Linked DNA regions of Notamacropus eugenii. The protein of the gene in region 3 purifies or fractionates together with the protein of the main gene of each other region. This does not show direct contact. Links are inferred from orthologs where the notes say so. Each region holds a gene or a part of one and is shown on either strand. Other genes may lie near its edges.

Region 1 (7,866 bases), on a different chromosome or scaffold from region 3:
TCCAGTAATCCTATTTTATTTTACCAGTTTCCCACCAAATTTCCCCAGTCCTCCAAAGAAAGAAAAATAAATACAATACTTGTCATAAATAAGCATAGTCAATGAAAACAAATATTCAGAGATGTCATACCTAAAAATCTATGTCTCATTTTGCATTTTGAGTCTATCAGCTCTCTGTCAGAAGAGTGGATAACAGTTCTACAACAGTCATCTGGAGTAATTGTTGGTTATGGCCTTGATCATGGTTCTTCAGTTTTCTAAAGCTGCTTGTTTTTACAGTGCTATTATTTTTCAAACATTTATTTATTTTTAGTTTTAGTTGGATCATTTCGCTACTCCACCAGCAATGCAATGAAGTTCCAATTTTCCCACATCTCCAGCATTTATCATTTTCCTCCTTTGTCATGTTAGCCAGTCTGATAGACAATTTGTGACATGGTGCTTCTGAGTTGTTTTAATTTACATTTCTCTAATTAATACTGATTCAAAGCATTTTTTATATGGCTAGAAATAGCTTTAGCTTTAATTACTTCATCAGAAAACTGCCTTACTGTATTATTATTGTAGAAAATGATTTTGTTTTGCTTAAAATCAATTCAGACAAGTTCATATAATACAGTAGAATTCTATCATGTTTATATGCCATAATGCCATGTATGTATACATATATTATAATTTCTTCAGTCTTCCCCAGTTGATGGATACCTTCTTTCCAGTCTTTGCTATGAGAAAGTGATCTACTGTAAATATATGTGGTAATAATATTCCAGTTCATATAAACCATAAGCTATTTGTTTGCCATCTTCCAAATAGTAGGTGCCCACATAGTTTCTAGTTTTTTGCTATTCTGTTTTTATACAAGTATCTGCCTTTGGGAATGGAGGGGGAAAGGAAATTAATATAAGTGAACGTTATCTCTAATACATTCTTAGAAAAGTTTCGCATATGTCAAACAGTTACCATAGTGAGGAGGCTAAAAGGGCCTTGCTAGGTGATATGGTAATGGCACCCAATGGCAGCGTTTACTTGAAAAATGTGATGGAAAGCTTCTTTTGTAGAGATGGTGAACTATTGAATATGTGGACTATTGAATATGCAATTAGACAGCATTGATGTGTTGATTGGTTTTCCTGAATTGCTTTTTCTGACAACCTTTTTAAATTTTTTTTTTATATTCTGGGATGTTTTACATATAAGAGGAAGGATAAATTCCGAAATTAAGTTGCTATAAGAAAAAAGAAATTAAAACATTAACAAAAAGGATTAAAGAGGAGGAGGACAGAATACTTTGAGGAATATTGCTTCACAAAACTGCAAAAAGAGGAAAGTGAGTCATGGCAAATTTAAGTCAAATTATTCCATGACCATATATAGATGGAATTGAAAGGAGAATAACAAATTGACATGAAATGGAACAGATCTGCTACTGTTTATAAAGTGATTTGTTCTCAGTGTTGACAACAATAGAACCACTAGTGCTACATAGTGAAGAGGTAGTTATTCCAAAAGACTAGAAAAAAAATGCATCTATTTTAATAAATTTAAAAAAAATATGAAAAAATTCTGTTACTATTTACCAACCCATAGACTATCTGCCTTTTCATTTTCCTAAATTTATTTTTAAAATAAGAATGGTCTGTGAATGCTCTTTGGTGATAATTTGGTGATAACATGAAAGATTTATTAATGAATTCTTATAGCAATCTGTATTTTTACAGTTGCTCCCTTGATAGCTCTAGCAAGCCCAGATAAGCTATATATTTTATTTTTTTAGTAAAAAATTGACTCATTAGAACAAGATGGGAAACAATGCATTTGTTAAAATTATATAATTGACACATATAACTATGTAGATAACTTAAAGTCAAGATCTCTTGACATGAGGCATAAAACAGAGGGTTATATTATCACTGTAGATGTGTAGCAATATCCCAGGGGATTCCCTACATACAAAGTCTAAGCAACATTAATAAAATCCCTTTTTGATGCTGAGGTTATCAGATGCTCTCATGCAAAGATCACAAGGTATTAATTATAGGCAGGTGCTGTACATCTTCAGCAATGAGAGACTGGTCTGAGTGTCTATCCGTGGGTGGGAAAGACAGCACAGGAGATTAAAAAACAATATATTGCCCCTATTGTGACCAGTGGCACAGGTTGAGCTGTAAACATCTTTATTTTGGATGGATATTCTAGGTGAACCTTGAACTGCCCTCAGAATTGAGGAGTGCGGAAATTAGACTCCAATGCATTTAGAAAAATGGTCAGTGATTTTGAATTGCTCAAGTCTAAAGCTCATTCCCTTCATACAAGCTCTCTTCTCCTCTCTTCTCCCCACTTCTTCAATTCCCTTGTCCATCACCCTCAGTAATATGTACTGTAAATCCTAGATACTTGGTATTGGCCACGTAGGGAGAATGAAAGAAAACAGTGATTGGCCAACTGCTATATTGGTGTCTGCATGGGAGGGCATGATGAGATAAAAGAAGATGAGGAAAGCCTCCAGTATTCTGGTTAGTTCTTTGATGAAGGGATTATGGGCAAGAATTTCACAGATGGAGAGTATGTGGAGCATTCATGATCTGTATTAGTAGAGACAGTATCTATCTAATAGGCTAGGGAATGTCAAATTACCAAAAAAAATATCAACTGTGTCCAGTATTTCAGTTATCTTAAGCTTTTTACCCCCATTTTGGGGGTGGAGTATGGAAAAGAAGTTGTATGAGCCTGGTGACATTTTGTTAAATGTTTTGGAAAACTGTATGGAACTTCTGCCGGTGAAGAGTATAGTAATACCAGCCAGCTCTTGCATCATTGCCTAATGATGTCTGGCTCCCTGTTTCTTTGTGCACTGATGCTTAATGTTAATGACTTTATTTTGAGAGTCTTAATTTCATTTGAATGCTGCACCTGTTGTGGGCTGTTCTTGCTGCATGAAATCCATAGCCCAAGTAACTCTCATTCACTTCCTTTTCCTCCCCCATATTTTTACTCTTTCCGGTGTAGAGGATGAGCAGATTAATAACTCAAAAGAAAGGACAACTTCAATGAAGGTCATGATTTTAGAGGTTTGAGGGGACAAGCCAGTCCTAGAGCACTTAACGTGCTGTTGCTGGGAAACTGGAGTCTGAGGTCATTTAAGAGGCCAAGCCTTGAATTGGCAGTTTGATTCTATGTCTCTGCCAGAATGGAGGGGGGTGGGGGGAAGAGGGATGGGTGGGATTCAACAGCTGTTGCTACCTGATATCTGAAACATTGCTGTTGAGGAACATGCATTTCCTCTTTTGCATTTGGACATTGGGTGCTCCTGTGAGAGAAAGAGAGGGGGAAGGGGGAGGGAGGAAATGTTACATAATACAGTTTACTTTTAGAAAAATGTTCTTAATTTCTTGGAGCTATCTTTTAGTCCAAGTAATTTAACATTAGAATTTGGGATGCTGTTTCCGACTTAGGATTCTGCAAAACTGATTTTGTACCTTAATTTCTTGATCCAATCAAAGTAGCAATAGGAAGGCAGTGTGGTACAATGACATGAGCATTGACCTTGGATTCGTGGGACCTGAATTGGAATCCTAGCTCTATTATTTTCAGTACCTGAATGACTTTGAGCAAGTCATTCAAGCCTTAACTTTCTGAGCCTCAGTTTCTCATCTGTAAAAACTGGAGAGGTCAGACTTGATCGCCAAACCACCTTCCAGCTCTAGAGGTCTTCAAGCAAAGGTTGGATAATCACTTGTTGACTGTGCTGTAAGGGGAGGCTGGGGAGGAAGTCTTGTTCAGCTATAGTTTGGATAGTACAGCCTCCTATAGGTCAACTCTCTTAACTCTTTCACTTCTTGAAGTTCAGTCATTCTGAACCCAGGGAGAGGAAATTCTACTCAGAGAAGCATCAGATGATGAATGTTTCTTGGAAGTCATCCTTCTTAGTGGAAGGAGAGGCTGTGTAAGCCATTTGTATTTTAGGCTTTAGTAGTGTGTTTGTCATTCATCTTACTCCTTTTTATGAATTTATGGCCCATGACTCTATTGATGTATTGAGAATTTCCAAAGTATGTTAATGAATAATGCACAAAACAGTGAGTGGGGTGCAATGGAAGGGATACCAGGTTGGGTTGAAGGAGGAGGTGATCAGAAATAAGTCACACCTCTTCTTGCTTCTGATTGCTGCCCTGTCAAATAAAATTTGTAATAACTCTTCTACTCACCTATGGGGATATTCTAAGGATCAAATGAGATAATAAATGTGAAAGAACCTTAAGTAATATAAAGGATTCTTCCAGTATCAGGCAGTATTAATATATATATATACATATATATATATATATTTTAAAAATATCACTATTCTTGTAGATCTTGTAGGGTGGAGATCAGTTATGTATTTTCGAAGGTGACTTAATGCTCTTCAGCTGTCACTACATTGCCTGCAATGGTATATATTCATGGGTGTGTTAATAAATGTTTAGCAACCAGATTGCTAGAGATATATATACTATATATAACATATATATACACACACATATATTTAACACATATATACACATGCTTTTCACTTATTAGTTTAATCTTCATCATTAACATTTTCTCTATCCCTTTTGTAAGTCTGAATAATTAGCAAAACAATAAATCAATCCCTAATTTGTAGTGTTTGCCAATTTCCAAGATTTAAATACACTGAAAATTCAGTAATTTGATAGCTGATTGTTGGTTGCAAGACATCACTGTGTTTATGTGACCTCAAAGGACCAATAGAACTCTGAGGATATCCCATAGAATTTTAGGTTTTGAAGGGGGTCTAGACTTCTAGTCTATTCATATAACTTGAAGCATAAGTCCATTCTGTAAGCTTGACATGTGTGTCCTTCAGGCAAACTCACTTATCATCAAGAAGTAAACCCAATACTTTGGATAGACTCCGAATTTTAGGGCTGGAAGATAATTTAGGGAATATCTATTCTAATTTCTTCATTTTGGGGGTGAGGAAGCTAAGACCCAGACCTGCCCGTGGTTATAACAATTAGTGAGGGAATGAGCAGCAAATCTAAGACTGGGAAACCACTTCTTTACTTTACTCCCAGTTACCCTGCCTCATGATGACTCAGACTTGGTTTTTTTGCCTTTTTCTTTTTCTTGCACTTCTGGATCTTCTTAATGACCTCTGAACCCAAGTTTCCAGAGCAGAAGCCTTACGTTTCCTCTCATATTTCTGTGTCCTCCTAGCATATATTTCAAAAAATGTATTGTTAACCCACCTCCTTCAGGCCATGTGGTCTCTTGAAAGACCCTCTCCAGTCTTCATATTTACATGGGAATTTGAATAATGTCAGTTATGGTTTATGTAAAAGTGACACAAACACACACCTATTTTATACAGAACTTTTCTCCTTAGCTATGTAGTATTAACACCTATGTCATTTCAATTATGCTAGGTTTGGGGAATAAAAAAGCAAAAATAGAGTCTGCCTTTAAGGAACTGAATGAACATTTTACCTGGGAGTGTGTATATATGTGTGGGGATTTGCTCTGTACACAGGTTGTGTGCTTTTCTAATCCTTACTTTGTATGTATTCATATATGTACATGCTGTTTCTTTTGGTAGAATGTTACTTAAGTTGCTTCATCTTTGTCTTTGTATCCAAAGAGCCTAACATAATGCTTTGCAAATATAGACACTTGTTAAATGATTGATTGATAGGGATTGAAGGTAGTGAGGGATTAAATACAGTGGTGTAGAAATACTTGAGAAATGGAAGATAGTATCAGCAGCATGTGAGATATGGGGACAGGGAGTCAGAAGCTTTCATAGAAGAGATGGTATCTGGAGCCCAGGAAGTGTGCATTGGAGAGCTGAACTTGGAATCATTTAATTAAATCATCTAGTTCTGTGGGCAGAGAGCCATCTGGTGATCATGTGGGTGGCATGAGTGGTCCTCGGGTTGGTGTGCTTAACCAAACCCACCAGGTAGACTGTATTTGCCTCCCTTGGGTATGATGGCAAATCTTTGAAGTTTAAGCTCATCCAAATTAGAATTCTTTGTTGCCCCTTTTCTTCATACCTGTAGCATTGAATATGCGTCTATGTAGTTTTAAATTAAATTTTGCGGCGGTAGGGGTGGGGTAGAGAAGAGACTGAGTTTCCACAAATACATACTATTGAGCCCCTTGCACTGGCACATAGCAAGTGCATAAATACGTGCTTATTGACTGACTAAACCTCTTCCATTTCTCCCCCATAAAGAGTTGCACTGGTGAATTGGTAGTGACAGGGGGATCTGGCTTAAGTAGCATCTCAGCTGCTGTTGCAGACTTTCCCTTGTGAATTCCACTGAGATCAGATCCTAGCTTCCTTGCCAATGACTGGCACCCATATACAGCTGCTTCTTTTGGTGGAGGAATGTCATTAGTCACCATAGACTTGGAGACGTTGCTGCCATTTCTGGATTGGTAATAGACTCCTTGGATACTCTTGACTTTTTCTGCCTGGGGAATGCCATGATGCATACTCCTGAAATTTTTTTTTTTGGGGGGGTGAGAATGGAGTGAGGATGTTGGAGTATCATTTTTCTATTACTGTTTCTGGGAAACTAGATATCAGAACTAAAAAAGAACAGAAAAAGAACTAAAAAATTTATCTTGGTCCATGAAGTCCTATAATTAAACTAGGAATTGGCAGCTTGTATAAGTCTTTATACCAGAAGAGAAGGATACATGGCTGTGTTAACTAAGACATTACCTTCATTTTCATTTGGGTGGAATGAATACTACCCCTTGCTCCTACCAATTCTGTATATGATAGGGGAAAAGTTACCACTGTCTCCAAATTTTTCTGCAAAAACAAATATTCTGTTGACTACAAGTCTTTAGTAAAAATTTAGTTAACTGTTTGTTGGATGTGGCATAGTTGAGAGTCTCTTCAGATAAAGCTTGAACAAGATGATCCCAGAGGCCCTTTTCTCTTGAAAATTTGGCACTTCTGGCCTCAGGGTGAGAATATCTTTCTGAGGGAAACAGTACCAGCTGATGACTGCCAGTTCTCCTTTCTCTGTAGGAGAGGCTCTGCGATCACCTATGTGTTTAGATTTTTGTGGTGTAATTGTTTTCTCTTAATGTTATTCCTCATGAAACTTTCTCTATTTACCTGGAAGAAAGGTTGTAATTTACTCTGGTGTGCAACTCCCAAGTTGCCTTCTCTATTAATTCATCATGCGCAGTAGATACCCTTGACTTTCCACACATGCTTAAATACTTGTTCATTTAAATTATGAATTGGCTCATTTGTCTTTTCCCTTATTATTTTTGAGTCTATACTATTTGTGTTAAATTGTAAACTCCTATGTAAGAAATCTGTAAGAAAGATGATTAACACAATCACCATTCATGATTTCCGAGGACTGATGATCAAATAAACATGTTCTCCATGACAGGAAGGTGATGGATTTAGGGTCATTTAGCAAAATACATCACTGTGAATATTTGTTAGAATGAGTTTCTTTTTTTGCCTCCTCTCCATCCCCCCTCTCCCCCTGCCCATGGTGAGAGTGTGTGCGGGAGAGTAAATGGGTTAAAATAATTTTTTTTAAATAGAGAGTTGAGGGATGTTTGCTACGGTGGTAGAATGTTGCATGTCCTTTTAGGTGAGGTCATTTTATTATTAGCTTTTCTTAACTGTTTTTCTTTGTTATGAGAGACCTTTCACAGGTTGGGAGGAGATCTTAACTGTAGATGTTTATGATACAAAGCCAAAATACACCAATAAAACTTTTTTAAAAGGCAAAATAAGCCTATAGGTAAAAGGTTTGTAGTGTTCAGCCCAGTATGTTGTCCCAACCCTTTGTTCATTTCCCCCAAAAGGCATTTAATAAACATAGG
Region 2 (8,236 bases), on a different chromosome or scaffold from region 3:
TCAAGATATCATGGATGAGATAAAGTTAAACAGTATCTTAATAAAAGTTATGATAAATCATCTTAATAAGCCAAAGAAATATTAAAGAAAGGTAGAGGGAAGGAGGTACTAGAAAATTACTTTGTGTTACTCCGTTGATAAGACAAAGAGGAGAGATTAAAAATAAAACAAAACACATGACTTTCCCAGAGAACAAAGATTTCATTATCTCTCTTATTAAACCTCAGCTGTGGATAAAACCTTCACAGTTTGTCAAACATATGGCCAGTGACTTAGAACACAGATTTTAAAGGTTTTAAAATAAGGCTTCAAGCCAGAAAGAGATGTCCTACTTCATATTTGCCTCTGCTTAATGAATGTGTACTTTAGTACGACTTAGATAATAGGGAACGATTAAACATGAGAGTCTATAAACCTCTTTCCCCACAAGAATACACTTTAATGAGTAGGTATGCTTTAGGTCAGCTAGGTGGTGCAGAGGATAGAATGCTGGCTGAAGTCAGGAAGACTCATCATCCTGAGTTCAAATCTGACCTCAGATACTGATTAGCTGTCTGATTCTGGGCAAGTCACTTAACCCTGTTTGCCTCAGTTTCTTCATCTGTAAAGTGAACTGGAGAAGGAAATGGCAAACAATTCCCAATATCTTTGCGAAAAAAAAGCACAAATATGGTCACAAAGAGTAGGACATGACAGAAGAACAGATTTACATACCATAAATATGCTGTTTTAATTCCATTTTGTTCTCCTAAAACTATCATGTTTCTCTCCCTTTCTTTTTTTCCATGTCTCTCTCTGTCTGTCTTTATGTATGTATGAGTGTGTGTGTATAAACATACATATTCATGGATGATATATATACACAATTTACAAAATCATATATGTAAAATAAACCTGAACTCTATATACATGTTAAAATTATTACACGTATGTAGGTAAATAGAATCTATGGTACATGATGAGAGTGACCATCATCTTGCATTCAAAGCTTGTCAGATTATAAATTTAGGAAAATAAATTACAAAAGCACGCTATACAGCAGATTAAATTGGATGTGAATTTTACTGACAGTAAGTAGCCTGCCTATAACTTCCAAAATATAATGTTGAAAAACTATGACTCTGTATTCTATCTCTCATCCTGTATTCAAAAGATGATCAACATTGAGATTCAAGGCAGTAATACTTTTTTATAGAAAATAACCTTTTATAAATATCCTTTTTTTATTTATTCTATGAATCTCCAATATTATTATCACCATTAAATAGTGCATCCACTAAGGCACTGAACTGTGAGATAAAATGTTAAGACACCTTTCTTGCTTTTCCTAGTGAACACAGTCTTTAAAATTTAAATAGAGTATTGATACTAGTCTTCACAGGAGTAAGAACAAGATAATATTTATAGCCACATTAAGGAGCCTTGGACTTGGAGTTAAAAGACCTGAGTTCAAATCCTCCCTCTGCCAAATACAGTGTGTCTTTAAGCAAGTCACATAATTTCTCCAGGTCCAGTTTCCTCATCCATAATATGATAGAATTGGATTATATAACCTTTAAAGCCCCTTCCTGCTCTAAATCACTTTATCACAGTCTTAGATTTAGTAGGGACCATTCAACCAAATTTGTACCTACCAAGGTTTTTCATACAACATACCTAAAAAGTGGTCATTCATAACATATCTGAAGAATTCTAATGAGGGAGAACTTCTTACCTCTAACCAGAGCTCATTCTACTTTTGGATAGTCTAAATGTTAGGATTTTTTTTCTTTTTCTTTTATATTCTAATAACTATGTATTCACATTTCACAATTTTATCGATCTTATCAGAGATTATAAGTTGCCACAAATGATTATACATGCCTATAAGCTATATCTTACTTTTGACAAACATTTATAAATTAATTTATTTTCATTTTTCCTCTAACTACTCTTTTAATTTAAGATCATCTCTTACAGAGAATTGATATGTTATCAAAGATTAAGTATCATGATGTATGTAATATATGCAAACATATACATTATTTAAAATTAATTTAACTCAGAGAATTTTTTTAATGGGAATGCAACCCTGGTGATTTCCAACACTACATAGAATAATAAAAGGAAGTAATGAAGTGTATACATTCCAAAACCAGGAGCTACCAATATAAAATCATTAATTCCTTCGCGCAAAGTTTTCTCAGCAACATTTTTCTTCTTTTCCTGAAACTGATGAACAGTTATTGAAATTACTGGGTTATTTCCCCTCTCCTAAATACAGTTTCAGTCCTTGAATCTATTTGAGAGTGGCGATAATCTTAGATCTATAAGAGTTAAGAAACAAGTAAAACAACCACACACATCTCTTAGGTAATCAAGTCAACCCATCTCTTTGGAACAGATTGTCCTCACAATACATCATTTTTATTTGCTTATTGCAATAAAAATTTAAAATACCTAGGGAGCCATGATCTGCTTCAAAATAAAGATGCTAAAGAGTTGGTCTTGGAATAGTGGCAAACCAAAAGTATCTGAGTGAAAACAGCTTAGTCATCACAGATATAAAAGATGAACAGTATTTTAAGCTAACTTTACTACTAAGCATAGTTAAAATTCCCAAAAGTTTTAAGATATTTCCTCAGTTCAGAAGGCATTCTTTCATACTCTAGGACAATTCATACATGAGTACTACCTAGAACTGAAAATAGAAGACAGCCTCTTAAAATGAAGAATAATAAGATATCCTGGAATATAAGAGAAAGAAGGCTGGATAAATCTTTCCATTCTGTCCTAATCTATCTCAACTCACTATACTTATTAAAACATACATAGTTTTATCCCAGACCCTTCCCTCTCCCTTTTGAAAGGTAGTTTATTAGTTCTTACATTAGCTGGGAATATTACAGATAACTGTCACACATAAAAAACACTAACACATTTACATATATGTATATACCAATAAACATAGACAACCATGGAATTTAACTTATGGGAGCAAAACTTCTGATATAAATATTAATACCTTACTACTTCTACTTTTAACACAAAAGTATTTAAGATCATTCTGAATACTGGTAATTATTGTCCAGTAAGACTGGAAAAAAAGTTTTCCTAATTCAGTATATTTACCTATAAGTAACTACTTGTATATTCATTATTGTACACAATACATGAGCATTTATATTACCTATTTTATTTTCTTAAGCTGAAATTCTTATAATATTTGACATTTAAAGTTATATGAGAAACACAAAAATCATAAAACTATTTTAGTCTATACTTACAACAGTCTTCTGCTTCTTCATACCAAATCATTTGGACAAAAATAAAATATCAAGGCAACAGGGAATATCTTAATGAAAATGTCCTCAGCTTTATTACTCCAGTAGGTTTTTTAGAGTTAGGCGAGTCAGTAAAAATGAGAAGCCAAAGTAACCTTCCAAAAAAAAAAAATAAATAAAGCCCTCTCTGTTTTCTTTGAAGTTTATCTCTAAAGTTCACTGCTTCTAAGGTCTGAATCTTGTAAGGGGAGAATGAGTGAGCCTAACTCCCAAAGAGTCAGTCGATGTAGTAACTGATGCCAGGATTCCATAGAGGTCCCTAGATGTTTCAAATTCCAGGACCTGCGCAGAAGCAGGCAGCTGGGCTTCCCTCAAAACAAGTTGGTTTCCCATAATAGGACTGCCCATGAACTCTACATATAAGGCTGTGCTTCCAGGATGGCATGTACTGTATAACAAATTCAAAAGATGACCAACAGCTTCCTGATTAGCAATGAAGCTAAAATAGTAAAGTAGCTAGAGTACTGCTCTCTGTGCCTCTTAAATACACAAAGACTGTCGTGAAAAGTCCTAACAATAATTTCTAAGTATCTTCCCAAAATTCATAGAATTTTCTCATTCTTATCAATGCCAAATTTTCAAAAGCTTCTTCTCTTTTTCAATTCAAATGCACTTGCAGTTTTTTTTTCTTTTTTCTGACTGACATGCAAATGCATGCCTGGAATGATTTGTGCATGAATTATGTATCCAGAAACTACAAATATTAATTTACTTCCCTTGGGATCCAATCAAAAATCATAAATTGATGATGCAAACAATTCAGAGTTGAGTCTAAGTAGGAGAAAGTTGCAGTAGAGAGCTGTAGTGAAAATATGTCTCCCAGGGAGCGTTATTCATTTAAATGAAAGAATATAAACTTTTTTGGGGAAACCCATTAAAGTTTCAGGTTAAACTAAAACTTCTTTCCTAATCATGTACTCTTTCTTAAATTTATTCACTGACAACAAGAAAAAATGCCATTCTGTTTGACATTCAAATAAACAGGTTGAGCACAAGGGAAAAATATTTCAGTGTAGAACTGGAATAATTGTGCTTTGATTTACACAATAGATGTTGCCAGCAAATCATAGAAGGTTAGAGTTGAAGGGGTCTTTCGAGAAGATTTAGTAAAGTATCCTCATTTTACAAATAAGGAAATTGAAGCTCATGGAGGGTAATGGTGTGTTGAATATCATGTCCTTAACAGTGGATTGGGTCCTGAATCTGAAGACGTCTGCCTTCCACTCCCATATTCTGTTCACCAAATTGATAACCAAGTATTAACTTTGTGGGGCAGCTAGTTGGTGCAATAGATAGAACACTGGTCCAGGAGTCGGGAAGACTCAACTCCCTGATTTTAAATCTGGTCTCAGGTTCACCAGCTGTATGACCCTGAACAAGTCACTTAACTCTATCCCAGTTTCCTCATCTGTAAAATGAGTTGAAGAAGGAAATGGTAAACCACTCCAGTATCTTTGCCAAGAAAACTCATAAATGGGGTCACAAAGAATCAGACAACTGAAATTACTGAAAAATAACAAAATTAACTCTGTGTGGGGGGGAAAGGGGTTGTATTGGTGGATGGGGGTGATAGGAGAGATAAATAGACTAGTTTTTAATGCAATAAGGTAACCCAGTATTAAAAATCCTGTGGTGTCCCCTTACCCTTTAGGAGTAAAATTCATTTGAAATGCCTATTAATACAATTTAAGTCTGGGAGGACTTTTAAGGAGGGATTAAAATCTGAGCTGGTGGTAGAAGTATGTACATTGCTGAAATCAAGGACACTATCCACATCTCAAAATTTGTAAGATCAGAATCTCAATGTTGTTTCTTTGGTACTTACTTCCTAGTAATTTTACATAAATTTACTTGGAAAAGGCAAGGAAAACTGTCCCAGTGCAAAAATAATAATGAAAACAATTTTGATCTATGGTAATGACTTGTAGATTATACCTTCAAGAAACAGTGAATCAAATAAAAATTCTATTATTAAAATGTAAAGACACTCTTTATTAAGAATACTTGGCATACATCAGCTTGAAGGGTGTATGTGTGTGTGTGTGTGTGTGTGTGTGTGTATGTGTGTGTGTGTGTGAAGACTGATTAGACCATCCTAAAAAGCAAATTGAAGGGGGAAAAAAGACTTAAAAGGACACATCAAATGTCAAAATTGCTTAGAAGATGTTTTAATGTCATGTGTTAAGGGGTTGTGTTGTCCACACATTGCAACTCCTGTGTGTGTCTGGGACTAGTAACTGATGATTACCAACAACTGGGAGAAAGAAAAATACTACTTATAAACAAGGTTCCCAAAGATTCATTGAGCAATTTTAAGCTTAAAAAAAAAGATTTCAAAGCTTACTTAGACTTTTGGGACATCCCTGAATGAGGGATATTCAATAAGAGGGAGGAAAATCTGTATTACTAAGAAAAAAAGCATCAGATGATTTACAATATTAAATGAGTAGTTTAGAAAGAGGAAAAAAAGATGTGATTGAACAAAATTGTGACTAAAGGAGAAAGGTTTTTTAACCACTAATTATGTCTTTTTTTATTACGTACCTTCACAGAATAATCACTAATTAATTTGTCAAACACTTTATAGAAGAGAAAATGAAATATGAATTGTTATAATTTAAAATGCACATGCTTTACTGTTGCTAATAAGTATTCTTACAATAGATGTAATACTTCCATTTCACACTAAATGGACTGGCTGTGCCTACCGTTAGGTAGGTATGGGTTGGCAGTGAGGAGAAAGGAAAAGTCTGAGCAACATTATATATTCTACCTCTAAGATTCTAAAGGGCACTAAACAAGATCTCTGTCCCAGAGAATATGTGTTCCAGGCCTATGGATCAATATATCAAACAGAAAATAGGTCCCTGCATTCAGCCCTCTAAATATATCGAAGAAACACTAAAAGGTCCTCTGAGACCTGACATAAACTGTATGTCCACATACAAGTGGCTCTCGATGTGCCAATAACTTCAGATTTAAAAGACTTGAACTCCATATTTATTTAACATAGACTAATGTTGCATATTGTGATTCTCTGGCCTTCATCCTTGGTTAGTATTTATTCAGTCCATCAATAAGAATTTATGAAATGCTCACTATATGTTATGTGCCAGTGATATAAAGAAAAAGTTCAGATAGTTCTTGTCCTCAGGACACTTACATTCCTCCTCAATTTCCCTTGGGATCTTTTTGGTACTAACATCCCTAATGTAAAAACTTGATATGTTAGATGCTAAGTGAAAGGAGTAGAACCAGGAGAAATTTGTACACAGCAACAACCACAGTGTGAGAGGAATTTTTCTGGTAGACTTAGCCCTTCACAGCTACGCAAGAACCTAAAAAATTCCCAATGGACTCTTGAGGCAAAATGCCTGCCACACCCTGAGGAAGAACTATAGAATTGGATTGCAGAATGAAGCAGACTATTTTCTCTTGTGTTATGTTTTGTTTTGTTTTTTTTCATGGTTTCTCCCATTCATTTTAATTCTTCTATGCAACTTGACTAAGGAGAAAATATATTTAATAGGAATGTATGTGTAGAACCTATATAACTGTATGTCATCTCAGGGAGGGAGTGGGAAGGGAGGGGGGAAAGTGGAGTTGGGAGGGGGAAAAATCTAAGATATATTGAAGTGATTATAGAATACTGAAAACAAAATAATTTAATAATAAAAAACTTAAAAGTCAATAAAACATAATATTTTGAGAGAAAAAATAAAATAAAACTTGATATGTTAAAAAAAAAAAAACAACTTAAATCAGACCAAGAAGACTAGAGCTATATAGCAATCTCCTTTTGCCCTGAGAACCACAAACAGAGCAGGCCGGGGTTATAAGGAAGGTATTTGTTTTTTGTTTTGATTTTTTTAAGCTACCAAGGTTAAATGACTTGCCCCTGGCCACAAAGCTAGTAATTATCTGAGGTCACATTTGAACTCAGGTCCTCCTGATTCGAGGTCTAGTGCTGTATCCACTGTGCCACCAAGCTTTTCCAGGAACAAGATTGTTTTGTAAAAATATTTTCTAAAAATTCTTCCAAAATGCTACTATTAACTCATTAACAAATATCATATACATATCATCCTATTGTCCCTTGCTTCTTTGATGAGCTTACAAATTCATCAAGAAAATAAGTAAAATGAAATGAGATGTAGGACTGCCTGGGAAGAGAAATAGAAGAACTGGTGACATTTACCTGCGTCCTACCATTGGAAGAGATATTCCAAGTTCCAAATGGCACATGAAAAAACTAATGGCTATTAAATTACATTGTCATTAAGCGCTAAATTGGGTGGAACAAACCATAAGTTTTGAAGAAACTCAGATAAGGGGTTCATTCATTCAACAGATATGTAATATGAATTTTCTACTTCTAGAAAGGAACTAAAAGAGACACTGAGAGAGTCACAAAGATAAATAAGACTTCATAGAAACACTGAATGTCAGAATTGGAGAGAACTCCTAGGGTTTCAAGTCTAGCTCAAAGCAGAAGAATACACAGGTCATTTAGCCACACTTGGTTAAAGGGCTCAATTGAGAGGCAACCTATTACCTCTCAAAGATGCCTGTTCTCCTTTGGGATAGAATGAGACCTTTGGTGTGAATGACCATGTGCAGCACATTGAGACAAGGAATACTATAATCTGATCTGGAAGATAAAACATGTGAACAACTAAATCTAATAGAAAGAAAATGAATTAAGTGAGATATAAAGTTCTGTAGGAGTTCAAAGGACTAAGAGAGCAACTCATATCAATATGGCTTGAAGAAGTTTTCTATGATGGGCTTGGAATAATCTTTATTGGATTGACAGGATTTATGCAAGGAATGTATGAGAGTGGAGACATTACAACAGCTAAGAGATGGAATAGGTTAAGAAGAAAATAACAGGATCTAAGGCAAAGACATAG
Region 3 (8,149 bases):
TTTTTCTCTCCCATCTTCTCCCAGCCTCTGCCCTCTCTTCCCAGGGTCCCCCATCCCTATTTCCTCTCCAGTGATGCCCAAACTGACCAAAATTTTTTTCTTGGGTCTCTCCTCTAGGAATACTGAGAACCAAGGGTCCCTAGATCCCAGCCACACCCACAAGCCCCTCTACTAAGGCCTCATGGGTGACCTCTGCACCATGTGCTACTTCCCCCAATCCAGTTCTAAGTCAGGGACTCTGCCAGCCTAATTGGCTTTGACCCTGTAATCCCACCCCTTTTTAACCAATACCAGATTTCTCAGTCCCTGCCAGAGACAAAATGAAGTAGGAAAGAGACAGAGGCAGGGATAGCCAGATAGACAGAACTTGAAACTAGTAAAGGCTCTCTCCAGGGCAGACACTAGGCATTCATCCATGAGGATCCATTTCTCCATACGCACATTCTCACCATTGTTTTCATCTTAGAAGGTGGGGAAAACTGCAACAGATAAGGGAGGCAGTGACGGGCATTGAACTTGGAGTCAGAGTAAGACGGCCCTCATTCCTTACAGGCACTGGCATAGCCCAAATCCCACACACACTATCCCTGCTGTCCCTCCCTACACAGACACACTGTGCCTACTAAGCTGCCTCCCTGAAGGCCTAGTCAGCAATCAGACGCTACACCTGCAATAGGAGAGAACTGGGTTAAGTACTAGAAATGTTTGTCTCACATGTACCATCCTAGTAACAGACCCTTACCTCTTATCTGGATTATTGCAATAGTTTTCTAACTAACTTGTCTCTCTGCCCAGTGCCTCTCCCCTCTCCAATCCATCCTCAACCCAGATGCTTAATGTACTACAACATTTATTGAGTATGAACTCAGTACATAAACTTCAGGATCAGATATGAAGTCCTGTGTTTGGCACTTACCGATCTCCACAACCTGGCCCTTTTCACTCCCCACACTCCAGTTTTTGCTGTTCTCCACAAAAAACCCAACTCATCTTCCCCTCTCTCTCCACCCAGGCCTAGCATGCTCTCTTGATCCCTTCCACCTCCACTTACGTGAGGATCCAGCCACATTGGCCTTGCTTGCACACAACCCTGTGCCTTTGGGTTGTCTGCCTAAAATGGCTCCCCTCTCCCCATGCCCCACCCCACTCTCCCACTCCCTCACCTCCTGGCTTCCCTGGTGTCCTGCAATATTCAATTCAAATCCCATCTTCTGCAGGAAACCTTCCTGGGTCCCCACCCGCAGTTACTGAAGCCTTCCTTTCCTCTGAGATTATCTTTCAGTTTTACACTGTATATGATTTATGTGTACCTAATTACTTGTTTTTGTTTGTTTTTTTGGAGGCAATCAGATTAAGTGACTTGACCAAGGTCATACACCTAGTAAGTGTCTGAGGTCAGATTTGAATTCAGGTCCTCCTGACTCCAGGGTGGGTGCTCTAGCCACTGTACCACCCAACTGGCCTTGTACCTGGTTAGTTACATATTGTCTCCCATTAGCTCCTGGAGGACTGGGACTGTTTTTGTCTTTCTTTGTATCCCAAGTGCAGCACAGTCTGGTATATATAGTAAGTGCTTAATAATTGTTTGTTGACTATCATTAGCAAACAGTTTAAACTTAAGTAAGAGGGATTATTAAGTTAGTCATGAAGAAGTTCTTGAATGTGAGAGATTTGAGTCTCTTTTTGGAATGGGGGAAGGAAAGGGCAAAGGTTAGGAAGGAGTCTTTAAAAATAGGATTCTCCAGTGATTGGGATGGGGTAGGATATGGTCCTGTTCAGAGACAGTTAGATGAAATGACCTCTCTGGGTTCTCTTCCTTAGCATGTCCCTTCCCTGGGCCCTTTTAATAAATTCTCCCTAATGAGAGGAGAAACTAAGGGAAGAGTGGGAACATCCTGGCCAAGGAGAGGAAAAGATGGATCTCTTCCTGGTTCCTCATCTCAGTTGCAACAACTCAATTCATTTCAGCAACAAGATTTGACTTGACTTAAAAGCAGTGGTATGCTGGTAAATGTTTAACTTGGGGATGGGGGGAATACATCAGACATACTATTAAGTTTAATCTGCCTTAAAATTTTCTCAGTTTCTTAAATCTAGACAGCCAACAAAATAATAAATCGATGAAACAAGTCCCGGTTTATAGCATTTGCTGATTTCTGAGGTATAAATGTTCACACTGAATACTGAGAAAAATCGAGGGCCAGTTAAAGCTGGTACAAGCTCACGTCAACCTTAAAGACACTTCAGTGCCTGGCATTCGAGGCTCTCCACCATCTAGCACCACCTTCCCACCTTCTCTCATGTACTCTCCTCAACTGAACTGAACCATTCCCTAGGCTAGGTGCTTTCTCCTTCTTCTGTCTCTAACCTAGTTTATCCTCTTGTTGAATTCCTACCCATCCTGTATTTGAATATGTATATATGCAAATAGGAATATACGTGCAAATATGTGTATGTGTGTGTGTATATACATATATGTATATGTATAAATTATTAATGCTTTTTGCCCTGCCTTTACCACCAATCTTTTCCCAACCACTAGATACATATCAAGCTCTCCCTTATGACTAAAGTAAATAAGGGAAAAGGTCTGATACAGAGACTGACAACTTATAGAATATTCTGTTCTAAAAGCCCCCCTTATTCTCCTTCATTAGTTTTTGCATTACTCCAAGTTCAATTTCATTTTAAAATTAATTTTTTACAATCAGCAAAAATCCACCTTTTCTCCCTCCCAACCCAATACTTCCCCCTACCCTGCTTAATGAAAAAAAACCAAAACTCTTGTTACCAGTGTGTATAGTCAAGCAAATCAGATTTCTTTTCCTTATCCTGAAAATATATGTATCTCGTCTTGCACTCTGAATCCTTCACCTTTCTATCAGGAAGTGGTTAAATGTTTCATCATTAATCCTCTAGAATAACGATTGGTCATGAAAGTGATCAGAGTTCCTAACCTAAATCTTCCAGAGTTTGGCTTTGCTGGATTGTTTTCATTGTATAAAATCTCCTGCTTCTCTGCATCTGTTCATACAAGTCTTCCCAAGTTTCTCTGAAACTATTCCCTTCATCATTTCTTCTAGCACAATAATATCCTATTATATTTATATACCATCACTTGTTCTTCCATTCCCCAATTTAGGGGACCCCTTTGGATTCCCATTCTTTGCCACTGCAAAAAGAACCATAGTTTTTTGATGCATCCTTAGAGTTTGTTTTGCTTAGGACTAATCCGTCCCTTAATGTACCCTCCCTATAATTCCTCCCTTTCCCTTCTCTTTCCTTCCTTTATCTATTGGGTGAAATGTATTTCTGTACTCAACTGTGTGTGTGTGTGTGTGTGTGTGTGTGTGTGTGTGTGTGTGTGTGTGTGTGTGCGTGCGCGCGCGCGCGCTTCTCACCTTTGACCAGTGCAGATGACTGTAAGGTTCAAGTGTCAGTCACTTCCTCCACTCCTTCCTTCTTGTTTGGATAGGTGCCTATTTGCACAATCTGATTATGTTAATTTTCCCTAACCTTCCTTTCCCTTCCCCATCATCTCCTCCCAATCTCATTTCTTTCCATTCTTCTCTTTAAGAACCACTCTCAGGCCTTGTTTAATGATACTCCCTCAATGGTCCCCTGATGATAATAGGGTTATGAGGAAACACATAGTGGCATCTTCCTATATTAGAATGTAAGTAGTTCAGCTCTGGTTAGCACTTTATGCTTATTCCTTAATGTAGAATCAAGGGTAAGAAAACTGGAAAGGTCAGATAGGACCAAGTTGTGATAAAGTTCAAATGGCAAACTCAGGGTCTGTCATCTGGAAGTAATAATTGAAGCCACTGAAGTCAGTGTCAATTTAGGACCTACATTTTATTTGTCATTTCTTACAGCATAATATGATTCCATTACATTCATATAATTTTTTTAAAAATCTTTTATTTAATCTGTCCATCCCAGAAAAAAAAAAATCAAGTCCCTCATACTTAGATGCCTAATCCAGCGAAACAAATGTTCCCATTGAATGGTCATGTCCAGAACTATATTTTTCTTTGAGTTCATCACCTCTCTCTCAGGAGATGCCGTGTTTCCTCTTCACTTGTTTGGATTTATGGTCCATCACTGCATTGATTAGATTGCTAAAGCCTTTCAGAGTTTTCCTTTTTTCTGTGTCGCTGTTCTTGTACAAATTTCTCTGGTTTTGCTCACTTGACTGCATGGGTTCATACAAGTCTCTCCAATTTCCTCTGAAGCTGCCCTTTTGGTCATTTCTTATGGCGCAGTAATGTTCCATTACATTCATATGTCACAATTTGTCTAGCCAAGCCCCGGACAGGATGACATCCTCTTAATGTCCACTTTGGGTCTCGCACACAAAAGAGCAGCTGTCGATATTTTTGAATGTATAGGTCCTCATCTCTCTTTGGGAATCATAGACCTAGTATTAGTACCACTGTGAGATATGGGGTATATTTATGATGTAGTAACTTGGGGACATAGTTCCATACTGCTTTCCAGAATAGCTGTGCCAGTCCATATTCCTAGCGTCTCTGCTGTCCCAGGGCCCTCCACATTTGTAATTTCCCTCTCCTGTCATCTTTGTCCATCCATCTTTTTACCAGTCATTCCTCAGTCTGTGGGACCCTATATGTTTCCAGTTATTTGCTCCTCCAAGCAGTACTGCTGTGAATATTTTGGTATATTCTGTCTTTTGACTCCCTTGCAGGGATATGTTTATTGGCACCTACCCATTCTTTAAGGGCCAACTCAAATGTAGACCTCTCCATAAAGTCAAGATACTTTGCCCACCTCTTAGGCACAAGCTCCCTGTGGGCAGGGAGCAGGTATTTTAAAATGTCGAATCTCCCCTAGGGCCTAGCACAGTTTTCAGCACAGACTGGGCACTGACGCTAAGTGCCCAGGGTATGTTAAGCTGGAGGGGTCACAGCCCCAGGCCGGACGTCACTAACTAGGACAGGAGGGCTGCTGATCCGTCCTGTTTATCGGCTCTGGGTGTGTGCCAGCCCCGGCTGGGAAAGAGGGAGGAGAAGTGTGTGTCCCACTGCTGGGAAACAGGAAGCCAGAGGCCGTCCAGGCCTGACCCCAGGCCCAAGAGCACCGACGGGGCCTGGGAGCGTCCTCGGGTGGGCCGGGGGAAGGGGGTGACCAGAGGGACCCCCGGATCCGATGGCCGTGGTCCCCCACGCCCCCGCCCTTGGCGCCAGCCCAGGGAGCCCCCACTCTCCTGCTCCCCAGAGGGGCCCCGGCAGGGTCTCGGGGCTCTCCCCGTCCCTCTCCTCTCCTGCCTGGGTCTCGCTCAGTCTTCGGGAGAAGGTGGGGAGAAGAGAGGACTAGGGGGCGGGGAGCGGGGCGAGAAGTGGGATTGGAGCCGGAGCGAGGGAAGGAGGGAGCAAGGGAGGGAAGGAGGGAGGGAGGGAAGAGGGAGCGAAGGAGGGCAGCCCAGCCCAGCCCAGCCGGGCCGGGCATCGCAGCGAGCGGGGACCGGGCAGCCGGGGGGCCAGCGGAGCTGCACTGGAGGCGCCCGGCCGGGGGGGTGCTGCGGTGGCGGGCCCCTCCTCCCTCCGCCCCCCGCTCTCCGCCCCGCCGGCGGCATGGGCTGGGCTGGGGGCTCCCCCTGCTGCTGCCCCCCGCGCTCCCGCCCCGCAGGACGGCCCCCCAAGGTGAGTGGGCGGTGGCTGCGTCACGGCCGGCCGCGGGCCGAGCCGGAGGAGGGGAGGGGAGGAGGGCGGTGCCCTGGGCGAGCCCCTCGGAGGGGGCTGGGGGGAGGGGGACCCCGCTTTGGAGCCCGGCCGGGGGGGCAGCCCCCATCCGCCCCCACCTATAGCAGCCCACAGCTCGGAAAGTTGGTGCCACCTCCGGCCTTAGGAGGCAGGGCTTGCGGGCCCTCGGACTCACGTACGCACCACTGGCACACGCACACACCCCCTCCGGGCACAGGTACGCCCACCCACCAGCGCACCTTCGCGCTGCCAAGCCGCACCCTTCAGTGCACTGAGGTAGCGGCCCTCCCCAGACTGGCAGCCCCTAAGTGCTACCTGGAGGCAAGTATGCCCCGCGGACACACCCGGCGGCACCGGCAGTCCGGCGGGAGGAAAGTTACCCTGGGCCCGAGACGTAGACACGTCCTGGAGGGTGGGTAGGGCTTCCTTCCCCCTCCCCTTCGTGTTTGTGGAAACTGAGGCAGGACTGAAATTACACATCCCCAGCCTTCTTCTGGCACAGCTCCCCAAACCCCGCCAGTTCCCCCAGTCCCCTCATTTATTCCCCATCCCCGGTTATCTGGTTTCTCTTCTGCTCCCACTCAAGATCCCCCCCCATCCTAATTAAGACCTGATTCCTTCCCTCTTTCCTTGGACCTTTCACCCTTTCCCCCTCCCCTCTAGCCAGGCCTGGGCTTCCAGCCTCTGTATCCAACCACAGCTATTTCCAGGAGGGGGGAGTAAGGGGTGGAGGGGGCTTCTCCAAACAAACCAAAGACTTCCTGGCCCAGCATATGAGGGGGCCAAGGCAGGGGAGGGAGGAGGCAGGCAGACACTGGAATGTGGCCAGCAAGGATGGTTGGGGGGGGGGGGGAGCAGTGGGAGAGCAGAAGTCCAGCTGAGAACTGAGCTGCATACCGGCTGGGGGGCTAATATTCCAACTTCTTCCTACCTTAACCCTTAGGTGCCCACACCATACAATATGGCAGGGAAATGAGATTTCTCTCCTTCCTGCCCCACTCGTCTTTTCCTCTGCAGATGCTAATCAGGGTACCTTGATGATCTCCAATCACTTCTATAATGTAGGGCCTCTCTTTTCACGCCCCTACCAGCCCAGAAAACAAGGAGGAAACTGAGGCCTGACCCAGAAGAATTTTCTCCCTCCATTTCTAACCGTCAGCATAGATGGTTAAGGTAGAAGAAGAGTTAGTGTTGCCAGACCTACAGAGATTCAAGGGGAGGGATATTGGAAGGTTTTAGCTACAGGCTGCCATGAGCCAGTGCCAGGGAGGTGAAAGTAAGACCCCTTAACAGGAGGATGGCATTCCAGAAGGGAAGTTAAAGACAAACAGGGGAGGGCCCCACAGGTACAGTCCAAGGTTTTAGGGGCTGACCAAGGGAAAAGGAGAGATTCAACTAAGGGAAGAGGAGAGGAGCTAGAAAGAAAAAAAATCACCTGCCACTCAGGCTTCTTGGTGCCAGTCTCTCCCTAGGATACAATATCATGCCAGGGTCCTACTTCCCACATTGATACAATGTCTGGAATGTCCTGAAACCTGGCCAGACTTAGTGGTGGAGGTGGGGGGAGGGGGGGGCCAAAATCCAGCGCCTGCCCTTTCAAATTTCAGGGCTGAGAAACTAGCCTCCTTGGATGTTCAGTCCTTAGTCTAAATTCCCTGTTTCTGCCCGACATCCTGTCTGGAAGGGCCATCGGTAGCTGAGCAGATGCTCCCTGAAGTAAGAGGCGTTAGGGCACTGATTCGATTTAGCAGCAGCACTCAACCCCCTCTCTCAATTCAGTTAGGAAGTAAATATGAAGGAGCGCAATTTTTTGTAGAGGTTCCCTAACCCCCTGAGGTTAATATCCTAGTGGTCTACTCAGGAACAGAGGGGGAGAGCTAGTCAGGAGTGGCATGGGTAAGAAAGAAATAGAGCTCAGGACCAGGATCCTGAAGGACGGGCCAGTCCAACGGGGAAACAAGGGGTTCACATGGGGCAAGCAAACCCTTTCCCCCTTTCTAGACTTTCCTCATCTGTAAAACGAGGGAGTTAGAATAGAATAGATACTTCGATAATTCAGTTTAATTCAGCAAAGATTTACTAAGCGTCTACTGAGACAAGAACACTGTTAACTGCTGGAGGAGACAGTTTAGATAAGTCAAGGTATCGGCCTCCTTGGTGTTTACAGTTTAGTAAACTAAACAGACCCTAAGGTCTTTTCCAGTCTATAGCATTCTGTACACAAATTCAATACCTCGCCCACATAAAGTTTGGGGACAGCTATGGTGGAAGGGATGGGGTGAGGAATTTCAAGGGAAAGGGGGCAGGGACTGGGAGAATCTGAGGTAGGACGGAGGCAGTCAAGGAGGACTTGGGCAGATGCTGACCTACAGTAAATACCATGCAAACTAGATGCAAATGAGGGAGGGGGTGACACATTCTTT
Region 4 (8,387 bases), on a different chromosome or scaffold from region 3:
AATTCTTCGTCCATATGAGAGACCTTCAAATAATTACAAAGATATCCTACCATCTTTTTTTTCCCCAAAAAGATCCTCAGAAGGTAAGCTCTCAAGATCCCTGACCTTACTGGGGGCATTCCTCTGGTTCCTCTCTGGTTTGTCAACAAATATGGTCTTTCCTAAAATGTGGTACCCGGAGTATCACAATACTCTAAATGACATCTGAGCAGAACAGGATAGTCAGACTCCCACTTCTGGACGCTACACTTCCCTTGATATAGTAAGCCACATACAATGTTGTACTGCTGACTCATTTTGAACTTCTTAGCCTTACTTTCACAACTTTTATGCAGTCTACTACAATCATTTCATTACATCAACACTATGTTTATATGACACTGTGGATCAAATATAAATTAATAATCAACGTATGTAAATAATAAGGATAAGACATATGTGATTTCATTGTGACTAACTTCCTCTACTAGAGTCGGTCAGCACCTTCTTGGCAATTTTCCTGTCTTAAAAGAGGTGCCTGGAGCACCAAGAAGTTAAGTCACATTGCTCAGGGTCAGAGTCTCTGTGTCAAAGGTTAGATTTGAACTCAGGTTTTCCAGGTTTGGGGGGCCAGCTCTCTATCCACTAGTATAAGCAGCCTGTCATAAGTAATAAGTACAGTTAATAAAGTATAATTTTGAACTTTCCAGTCTACTATTGTATTTCGTTTTTCTACCTGAAGTTTCTAGTTTTAAAAGTCTTTTAAAAAATCAAGCCTGAGACTGGCACCAGACTTTCGTAAACTAAACAAAAGGGGCAAAACTCTTATCTTGGCAATAACCTTCAAGTTCAGTGTGCCTTCATTGTAAAGTAAGGCTCATTAACTAAACAAACTTGCCTTTTCAGTCTCGTACCTTTCAAGGAAACGCTAAGATCTAGTTGGGTTATTGTTGAGAGTCAATGATGAGTTAAATTCCCATAAATTAATCAGCATTTTGGTGGTATGCCCAAATCTACAGCAGACGTGCATTTTTTAAAAACCCATCTAGGGAAGAGAGAAGTAAGAAAAGAAGGCGGCGGCGGTCTTGTACTTCTCCAGTTAAATCCAAAAGGTGTCATACAGGGGAGAATGCCAAGCCTTAACAAATAATGAAAAAGTATCCCATGGAAACACTTAGAAGTTCCCATCTTGCCCCAAATAAATCTGAATTTTCAGGGCTATAAAGCATTTCGGCTGTGGCTGAACTTTTCCAACTAGAGTCATCAGGGTTTTCCAAAATGCCAAGCTGGTGACCAGAAACCTACTTTACTAGGAAGAAAGGGTGCGTGAGTTCCAGGGGAGACGAGCAAAACCAAGTCCTGGACATTGTAGGCAGAGCTGGTCGAAGCCACGCGCTGCTCGGCCGTCGGCTCCCTCCAGTCCCCCCACTCACTGTCCTGCAGGACCTTGGCAGCGCGGCTTCCCCTAGTCCTTCTCCAAAGCCCGTGTTCACCCCCCACCCCCACCCCGTGCCCCCTCTCCAGCAGCACCTCCTTTTAGAGCACGATTCCCCCCGTTCTGTGCTTGCCAACCTTGGCCCGCACCCTCCAGCAGCACCCCTGGTCCCCTCTCTCCAACAGCACCTCCTTTTTCAGCAGGGCTCCCCCCCACGCCCGTCCTACCCCGTGCTCGCCTCCCCTGGCCCCCACCCTCCAGCAGCACCCCCGGTCCCCCTCTTCAGCAGCACCTCTTTTTTCAGCACTCTCCCCCCGTCCCGTCCCGCGCTCGCCTCCCCGGGCCCCCGCTCCAGCAGCACCCCCGGTCCGCTCTCTTCGCCCCAGCCCGGCCCCGCTCACCCTCCAGCAGCACCTCCTTTTTCAGCACGGCTGCCCCCGTCCCGTCCCCGCCTCCCCCGGCCCCCACCCTCCAGCAGCACCCCCGGCCCCCCTCTTCAGCAGCACCTCCTTTAGCAGCGCGGCTCCCCCCGTCCCGTCCCGCGCTCGCCTCCCCGGGCCCCCGCTCCAGCAGCACCCCCGGTCCGCTCTCTTCGCCCCAGCCCGGCCCCGCTCACCCTCCAGCAGCACCTCCTTTTTCAGAACGGCTGCCCCCGTCCCGTCCCCGCCTCCCCCGGCCCCCACCCTCCAGCAGCACCCCCGGCCCCCCTCTTCAGCAGCACCTCCTTTTTCAGCACTCTCCCCCCGTCCCGTCCCGCGCTCGCCTCCCCCGGCCCCCACCCTCTAGCAGCACCTCCTTTTTCAGCGCGGCTCCCCCCGTCCCGTCCCCGCCTCCCCCGGGCCCCCGCTCCAGCAGCACCCCCGGTCCGCTCTCTTCGCCCCAGCCCGGCCCCGCTCACCCTCCAGCAGCACCTCCTTTTTCAGCACGGCTGCCCCCGTCCCGTCCCCGCCTCCCCCGGCCCCCACCCTCCAGCAGCACCCCCGGCCCCCCTCTTCAGCAGCACCTCCTTTTTCAGCACTCTCCCCCCGTCCCGTCCCGCGCTCGCCTCCCCCGGCCCCCACCCTCTAGCAGCACCTCCTTTTTCAGCACGGCTCCCCCCGTCCTGTCCCCGCCTCCCCCGGGCCCCCGCTCCAGCAGCACCCCCGGTCCCCCTCTTCAGCAGCACCTCCTTTTTCAGCACTCTCCCCCCGTCCCGTCCCGCGCTCGCCTCCCCCGGGCCCCCGCTCCAGCAGCACCCCCGGTCCGCTCTCTTCGCCCCAGCCCGGCCCCGCTCACCCTCCAGCAGCACCTCCTTGCCGGCCCGCTTCAGCGCCTGCACGGCCTGGTCATGGGTGGCCTGGCGCAGGTCGGTGCCGTTCACCGACAGGATGGCGTCGCCCAGCCGCAGCGCCCGGCTCTGGTCGGCCGCCAGCCCGGGGAAGATCTTGGAGATGAGGATGGGCATCCGGTTCTCGCGGCCGCCCTTGATGCTGATGCCCAGGCCGCCCGCCTCCTGCTTCACCACCCGCACGCGCCGCACGGGCGGGGAGCCCCCGGCCGCGGCCGCTGCCGTGGCCCCGGGAGGGCTGGGCGGGCCCAGGCCGCGGCTCGGGCTGCCGGGCAGGGAGTCCCCGCCGCCCCCGCCGTTGGGGAGGCCGTTGAAGGCGGCCAGCACCGGCCCCAGCGGAGGGTCCGTCTCGGCCGCCGCGTCCCCGGTCAGGCTCAGGCTCTCGCCGCTCAGCTCGGCCACCACCCGCACCCAGCGCTCCCGCAGCAGCAGCTCCACCAGCCCCGCTTTGGTGGCCCTGGTCCACACCGCCATGGCCGGCCCGGGTCCCGCCGCCGCCACAGCCGCCGCCGCCACCGCCGAGGCCAGGTTCCTTCCCAGCCGGGAGTCCCGGCGCTTCCCCCTTCCCGCCTGCGGGGGCGAGGCCCCGCCCCCGGGCCCGACCATGTATTATTCATGAGAGGCCCCGCCCACTCCTCCGTTTACCGCGGGGGCGGGGCCGCTTCCGGGAAGGAGGGGGAGAGACTGGTTCTGGCCAGCCCGGGGGGAGCTTAAGGTGCCGGGATCTCCCAGCACAAGGTCACTGCTGGGAGGGCTCTTCGAGCCGAGAAAGTCCGGCCGGGATGGCTTAGAACACAGAACGCCAGGGCTGGGAGGGAACGTAGAGCATGGACTGTCAGACCCAGGAAGGGAGCTTAGATAGAACACAGAACACCAGGGCTGGAAGGGAACGTAGAGCATGGACTGTCAGACCCAGGAAGGGAGCTTAGATAGAACACAGAACACCAGGGCTGGAAGGGAACGTAGAGCATGGACTGTCAGACCCAGGAAGGGAGCTTAGGGCTGGAAGGGAACTTACTTAGAGCATGGACTGTCAGACCCAGGAAGGGAGCTTAGGGCTGGAAGGGAACTTACTTAGAGCATGGACTGTCAGACCCAGGAAGGGAGCTTAGGGCTGGAAGGGAACTTACTTAGAGCATGGACTGTCAGACCCAGGAAGGAAGCTTAGATAGAACACAGAATGTCAGGGCTGGGAGGGAACTGAGAACATGGAATGTTAGAGCTGGGAGGGGCCTTAGAAAATAGAGCCCAGAGCTGAACCAACCCTCAGAACACAGAATGTCAGGACTGAGAGGGACCTTAGAATTGAGAGTGTCAGAGCAGAGCTGGCAGAGACTTTGTTTTGACCCCTGCAGTAACAGAAGGGGAAGCCAAGCTGCACCCAGGGCACCACTTAGAACATTCTGAAGCCAGCGTTCCAGACTCCAGATTCAGGGTTCTGCTATTCTTTATGGAAACAGAATAACTGCTTTGGGCTCTAGCTGTCTCCTTAGCCCTCAACCACAAAAAAATTTGATCTGTTTCTGCCAGATGTCTTAATAAATGCAACTGGGGAAAATTAAAATTCCTTCTGGTAATTTCTTTATTAGCCTGTGAAATTGGGTTGCATGGGCCCCACGTCCAGCAGCTTCTTTCTGAGCTCAAACAGCTCAAAGGGTTTGGTCTACAAAAGAATTGTCAGCAGCCGGATTGTCAGAGTGGCCTCCAGCACCAGAGAGGAGGTTCACACATTTCCCACAGATCCTAAGGGCTCAATAAATAATTCTTGTAAAGCTGAATTGAGATCAAAACAGGCTCTGTTCATGGAGCCTGTCCATAAAGTACATGCTGACACCTGTAAACTCCAAAGGATCCATGTGCTCTTGGAAGATGGAAGATTCTGTGACTTTTTTTGTCTGCTTAGGGAACTCCAGGGGTCTGAATTCCCTCCACCAATACGGAACCCTCCAGGGACTTAAGTAGAATTAAGTAGAGTTGTCAGAAGAACAGGGACTCAATGATATGACCAGGGTTTCACAGACTTTAAGAGAGCAAATGTGAACCTAACATCTTCATAACTCCAACGCCCCTCATAAATCCCCATTAAGTTCCTCAAGGGTAGGTTTTTTTATTTTGTCTTTTGAGTCTAGCACCTAAACACAGTGCCTTACAGATAGAATGTGTTTTGAATGAATAATACTTGATATTTGTAGGGAAAGCATGCTCTAGTGGATACAAGACTGCCCTCAAAACCAAGAGGACCTGAATTCAAGTGCTACTTCTGAAGCATACAGACCATAACCCTCCCCCCTACTCCTCATTTAATCATTCAGTGCTCTACGCAACTTTCAAAGACAGTTAAATTGCAGAAAACTTGCTTTGGTAGAGGGAATTTCCACACCTGGGAATTCCCCAAACCAATTAACTCACAAATCCAGTTCCCTTTTACCAAGGATACATTTCTTATTTGACCCTTATAACATCTATAAGGTAGATGCTTCAGGTTACTATCTTCATTTCATAGATAAATGAATGTATTTACTTATAAAAATATTTCTAGATATGAGTTTTCTAGATAAATGAGTTCAGAAAGGCTAAATGACCATATGGGGATCACATATCTAAAGTGAGTTGGAGTTAGAATTTGAAATGCATGTGGTCACTTCTAACAACAAGTCTTCATCCTCATGATGGTAGAGGGTAGAGACTGAATCCAAACAGTCTCAGAGGGAGGAGGATGGGAAATAAGCCCAATAAGCATTTATTAAGCACCTATGATGTGCTTTGCTAAGCACTTTACAAATACTCTCATTTGATCTTCACAGTAACCCAGAGAGGTAGGTGCTATGATTATCCCCATTTTGTTGTTGAGGAAACTAAGGCAAACAAAGGTTAAGTGACTTGCCCACTGTCATATTACTGTTAAATGTCTGAGGCCAGATTTTAACTCAGGTATCCCTGATTCCAGATCCAGTGCTCTATCCTGTATACCTCTTACCTCCTTCTCAAAGTCTTAGAGTTAGTTTTTTTAAAAATCTAGTCAGAGATTTATCAATCCCATTAAGATATAATTCCGACCTTACTAAAAATCATTAAAATAGGATTTGTTTTGCAATAAGGCAGGATTTTCCAAGTTGTAAATTTCATCAAAGCTAAAAAAAGCAGACCTCCCCCTAAATCCACTGCAAAGAGACCTCCTGGATCTGCAACAGGTCCAGATATGCCCTGTCGTCCTGCACAGCCTGGAAACACACACATACAACATGCACGTACGCACGCACGCACGCACGTACCAGGCCCATTAGGATAACTACAAAGTAATTTGATGATCAGAAGGGCAAATTATATAAAATTGAGATGTAGAGGGAAAAATGTTAGAATTTGGATGGTATGGGATGCTTCTTCTCTTTTTAAAAAATCTCTGGTAGACTTCCCCATGAAGTTTTAGTTTTGAAGTTTTGCCATATCAGCAAACACTTTAGCTTTGCACTCAATATCCTTCCTAATTTGAACCCAGCCTTCCCTTTCGGCCTATTCTACCCACCATTTCCTTAAATGAACCTGCTAAACTGGTTTATTCATTGTCCCTTTAAATATGCCTTTACTATTCTCTGCCTCCGAGTCCCTTCCAAAATATTTGTCTTCCTCTTGTGTCCCTAGAAATTCTATCCAACCTTAAAGGTTTGGTTTAAATTCTACTGAATCCATTAACTGACCTGGACTGGTAGAACTTGAAAGGACCTTAAATCTAAGTTATATCACTTGGAAAATGAGTCCTCCACTTCCTCTTCCAGGAGGACTATAAAAGTCTTATTGGAGTTGGTGTGAGAATTAGCACAAGAATTCAGGCTTCAGCTGGGAGGCTAATGGGTTTTTCCAACATTATAACAGCTAGCCCCAGCTGAAATCCATCTTTCCTCTGACCGCCAAGAACATTGAATTCTAGGAACATTTAGGAATCACCTAGCAGGTTGAAGAGAAGACAAAGGAAGAGCCCATCAGTCAATGCCGTCAATGAGCATTCACTTCTTGTCTCTATCACTTATTTCACAGTTGTCATTTATTAGCTTTGCTGATTACCCCAGCTTGTGTTTCTACTCAAATTGGAATCTCATTTCTCATCTGGCTGCACTCAGCTAGGATTTCTCTGACTTTCTACCATGCCTCAGGGACCTCATCATTGGGAAGATTCATCATTCTGCAAGATCATATCAACCTTGATATTCACATCCCATCACTACCTTCTGCTTAGGACATACATGTCTCATTTTCCACCTGGCTGCATGACTTCAGGATTTCTGGCTTTTCCATTTCACCATCTCTCAACTTTTCAGATTCATTTTGCATGTTTTCTACCTTTAGACTGTTATGCCCTTAAGGGACTGGAACGGTTTTTTTTTTTTAATTTGTATCCCCAGTGCTTGGCACATAGTTTAAAAAAATGTTTATTGACTATTGACTAAATTGTTCCAGTACCTTTTGTTTAAATCTCCCCTTGGGAATCTAATGGGTTATTTACCATAATACTGATTTTTTTTTTTTATTGTATAACCATGCATCTCACTTGGTATTTTGCTCATCTCTATACCCATCAGAGATCCTCAGGTGAACTGAAAATTCCTGAGGGAATTTTTTATCTTTAATAATATAAGAATAATAAATATCATTCATATAAGACAACATACTGTTACTGGTACAAACTTGTGAGTAGGTAGTATTATTATCCCAATTTTACAGAATAGGACACTGAGGTTCAGAGAGTAAGTAACCTAGAAGTAATAGTATTAACAATAATGAGGACAATAGCTAGAATTTATAAAGTGTCTGTTATGTGCCAGGCACTGTGCTAAGTATTTTACAAATATCTCATTTGCTCCTCACAACACCCCTGGGAGGTAGGTTCTGTTATAATCCCCATTTTTCAGTTGAGGAAACTGAGGCAAACAGGGTTAAGTAACTTGCCCAGGGTCACACAGAGTAAGTAAGGTGGACTTTAGCGTGTGTAAGGTGGATTTTTGTTATTCTTCTTAGAGTTCAGTTCCTCAGGATCCATGGACAAAATCTCTATTTCCCAGGCTCATGCTTTGCACTCAGTGTCTCAAGGTAAACATCTCCACCACACTTGTGCAGCGTTACATAATGATAAATAATATAGACATTTGTGCTTAAAACTGAAAATACCCACTGCAACTGCACAATGAGATATAATGTAAAATTGTGAGGCTGTTGTCAGCAATATGCCTTCTTTGTCTGTTGCCCTATAAAGCAGGTGGGCACTGATCAGTAAGTGGGGAATCTGTATTTGCCTCAACAGGCCCCCACTGAGGCTTGCGGGGATTTAAGGGAGTGCACAAGTTATGCCTGTCTTGACTGACTCCATCAAGAGAGATGTAGAGGTAGCTGCCCCTCCTTCACTCTGGTCTTTGTGAGAAGGGTGTAGAGCCAAGGAAATATTCATAGCATCTATGGGGGCTGTGAATATGCTGGCATAATTCTGAATTGCAAAATATAACAGACAGTAGAAAGCCAAATCCATCATAGCAACAAAGAAATCTATACACAATAATACAAGGGGCACTACTATCCCCAAGCCTTCCCCCTGCTAGGACTTTCCCACAAATGAACAACTCACATCTTGCTGCCTGCTTCCTCTCTCTCCCTCAGCTC

What was found.
Region 1: the proteins of TNS2 (region 3) and utrophin-like purify together in Homo sapiens (affinity purification with mass spectrometry; 4 studies listed by BioGRID and IntAct, with this or other methods). This does not show direct contact. The link is inferred for Notamacropus eugenii from reciprocal best matches to the Homo sapiens genes TNS2 and UTRN.
Region 2: the proteins of TNS2 (region 3) and DMD purify together in Homo sapiens (affinity purification with mass spectrometry; 3 studies listed by BioGRID and IntAct, with this or other methods). This does not show direct contact. The link is inferred for Notamacropus eugenii from reciprocal best matches to the Homo sapiens genes TNS2 and DMD.
Region 4: the proteins of TNS2 (region 3) and SNTB2 purify together in Homo sapiens (affinity purification with mass spectrometry; 4 studies listed by BioGRID and IntAct, with this or other methods). This does not show direct contact. The link is inferred for Notamacropus eugenii from reciprocal best matches to the Homo sapiens genes TNS2 and SNTB2.

The regions. Positions count from the first base shown.
Region 1 is NC_092873.1:232,659,770-232,667,635, forward strand, and holds the start of utrophin-like, read left to right. Parts: upstream 1-4,413; 5' UTR 4,414-7,866.
Region 2 is NC_092876.1:441,925,846-441,934,081, reverse strand, and holds the start of DMD (dystrophin), read right to left. Parts: upstream 3,390-8,236; 5' UTR 3,298-3,389; coding exon 3,267-3,297; intron 1-3,266. UniProt on the Homo sapiens protein: Anchors the extracellular matrix to the cytoskeleton via F-actin. Ligand for dystroglycan.
Region 3 is NC_092874.1:225,880,524-225,888,672, forward strand, and holds the start of TNS2 (tensin-2), read left to right. Parts: upstream 1-5,085; 5' UTR 5,086-5,172; coding exon 5,173-5,319; intron 5,320-5,458; exon of another isoform or gene 5,459-5,597; coding exon of another isoform or gene 5,598-5,666; intron 5,667-8,149. UniProt on the Homo sapiens protein: Tyrosine-protein phosphatase which regulates cell motility, proliferation and muscle-response to insulin. Phosphatase activity is mediated by binding to phosphatidylinositol-3,4,5-triphosphate (PtdIns(3,4,5)P3) via the SH2 domain.
Region 4 is NC_092872.1:708,564,883-708,573,269, reverse strand, and holds the start of SNTB2 (beta-2-syntrophin), read right to left. Parts: upstream 3,359-8,387; 5' UTR 3,348-3,358; coding exon 2,690-3,347; intron 1-2,689. UniProt on the Homo sapiens protein: Adapter protein that binds to and probably organizes the subcellular localization of a variety of membrane proteins. May link various receptors to the actin cytoskeleton and the dystrophin glycoprotein complex.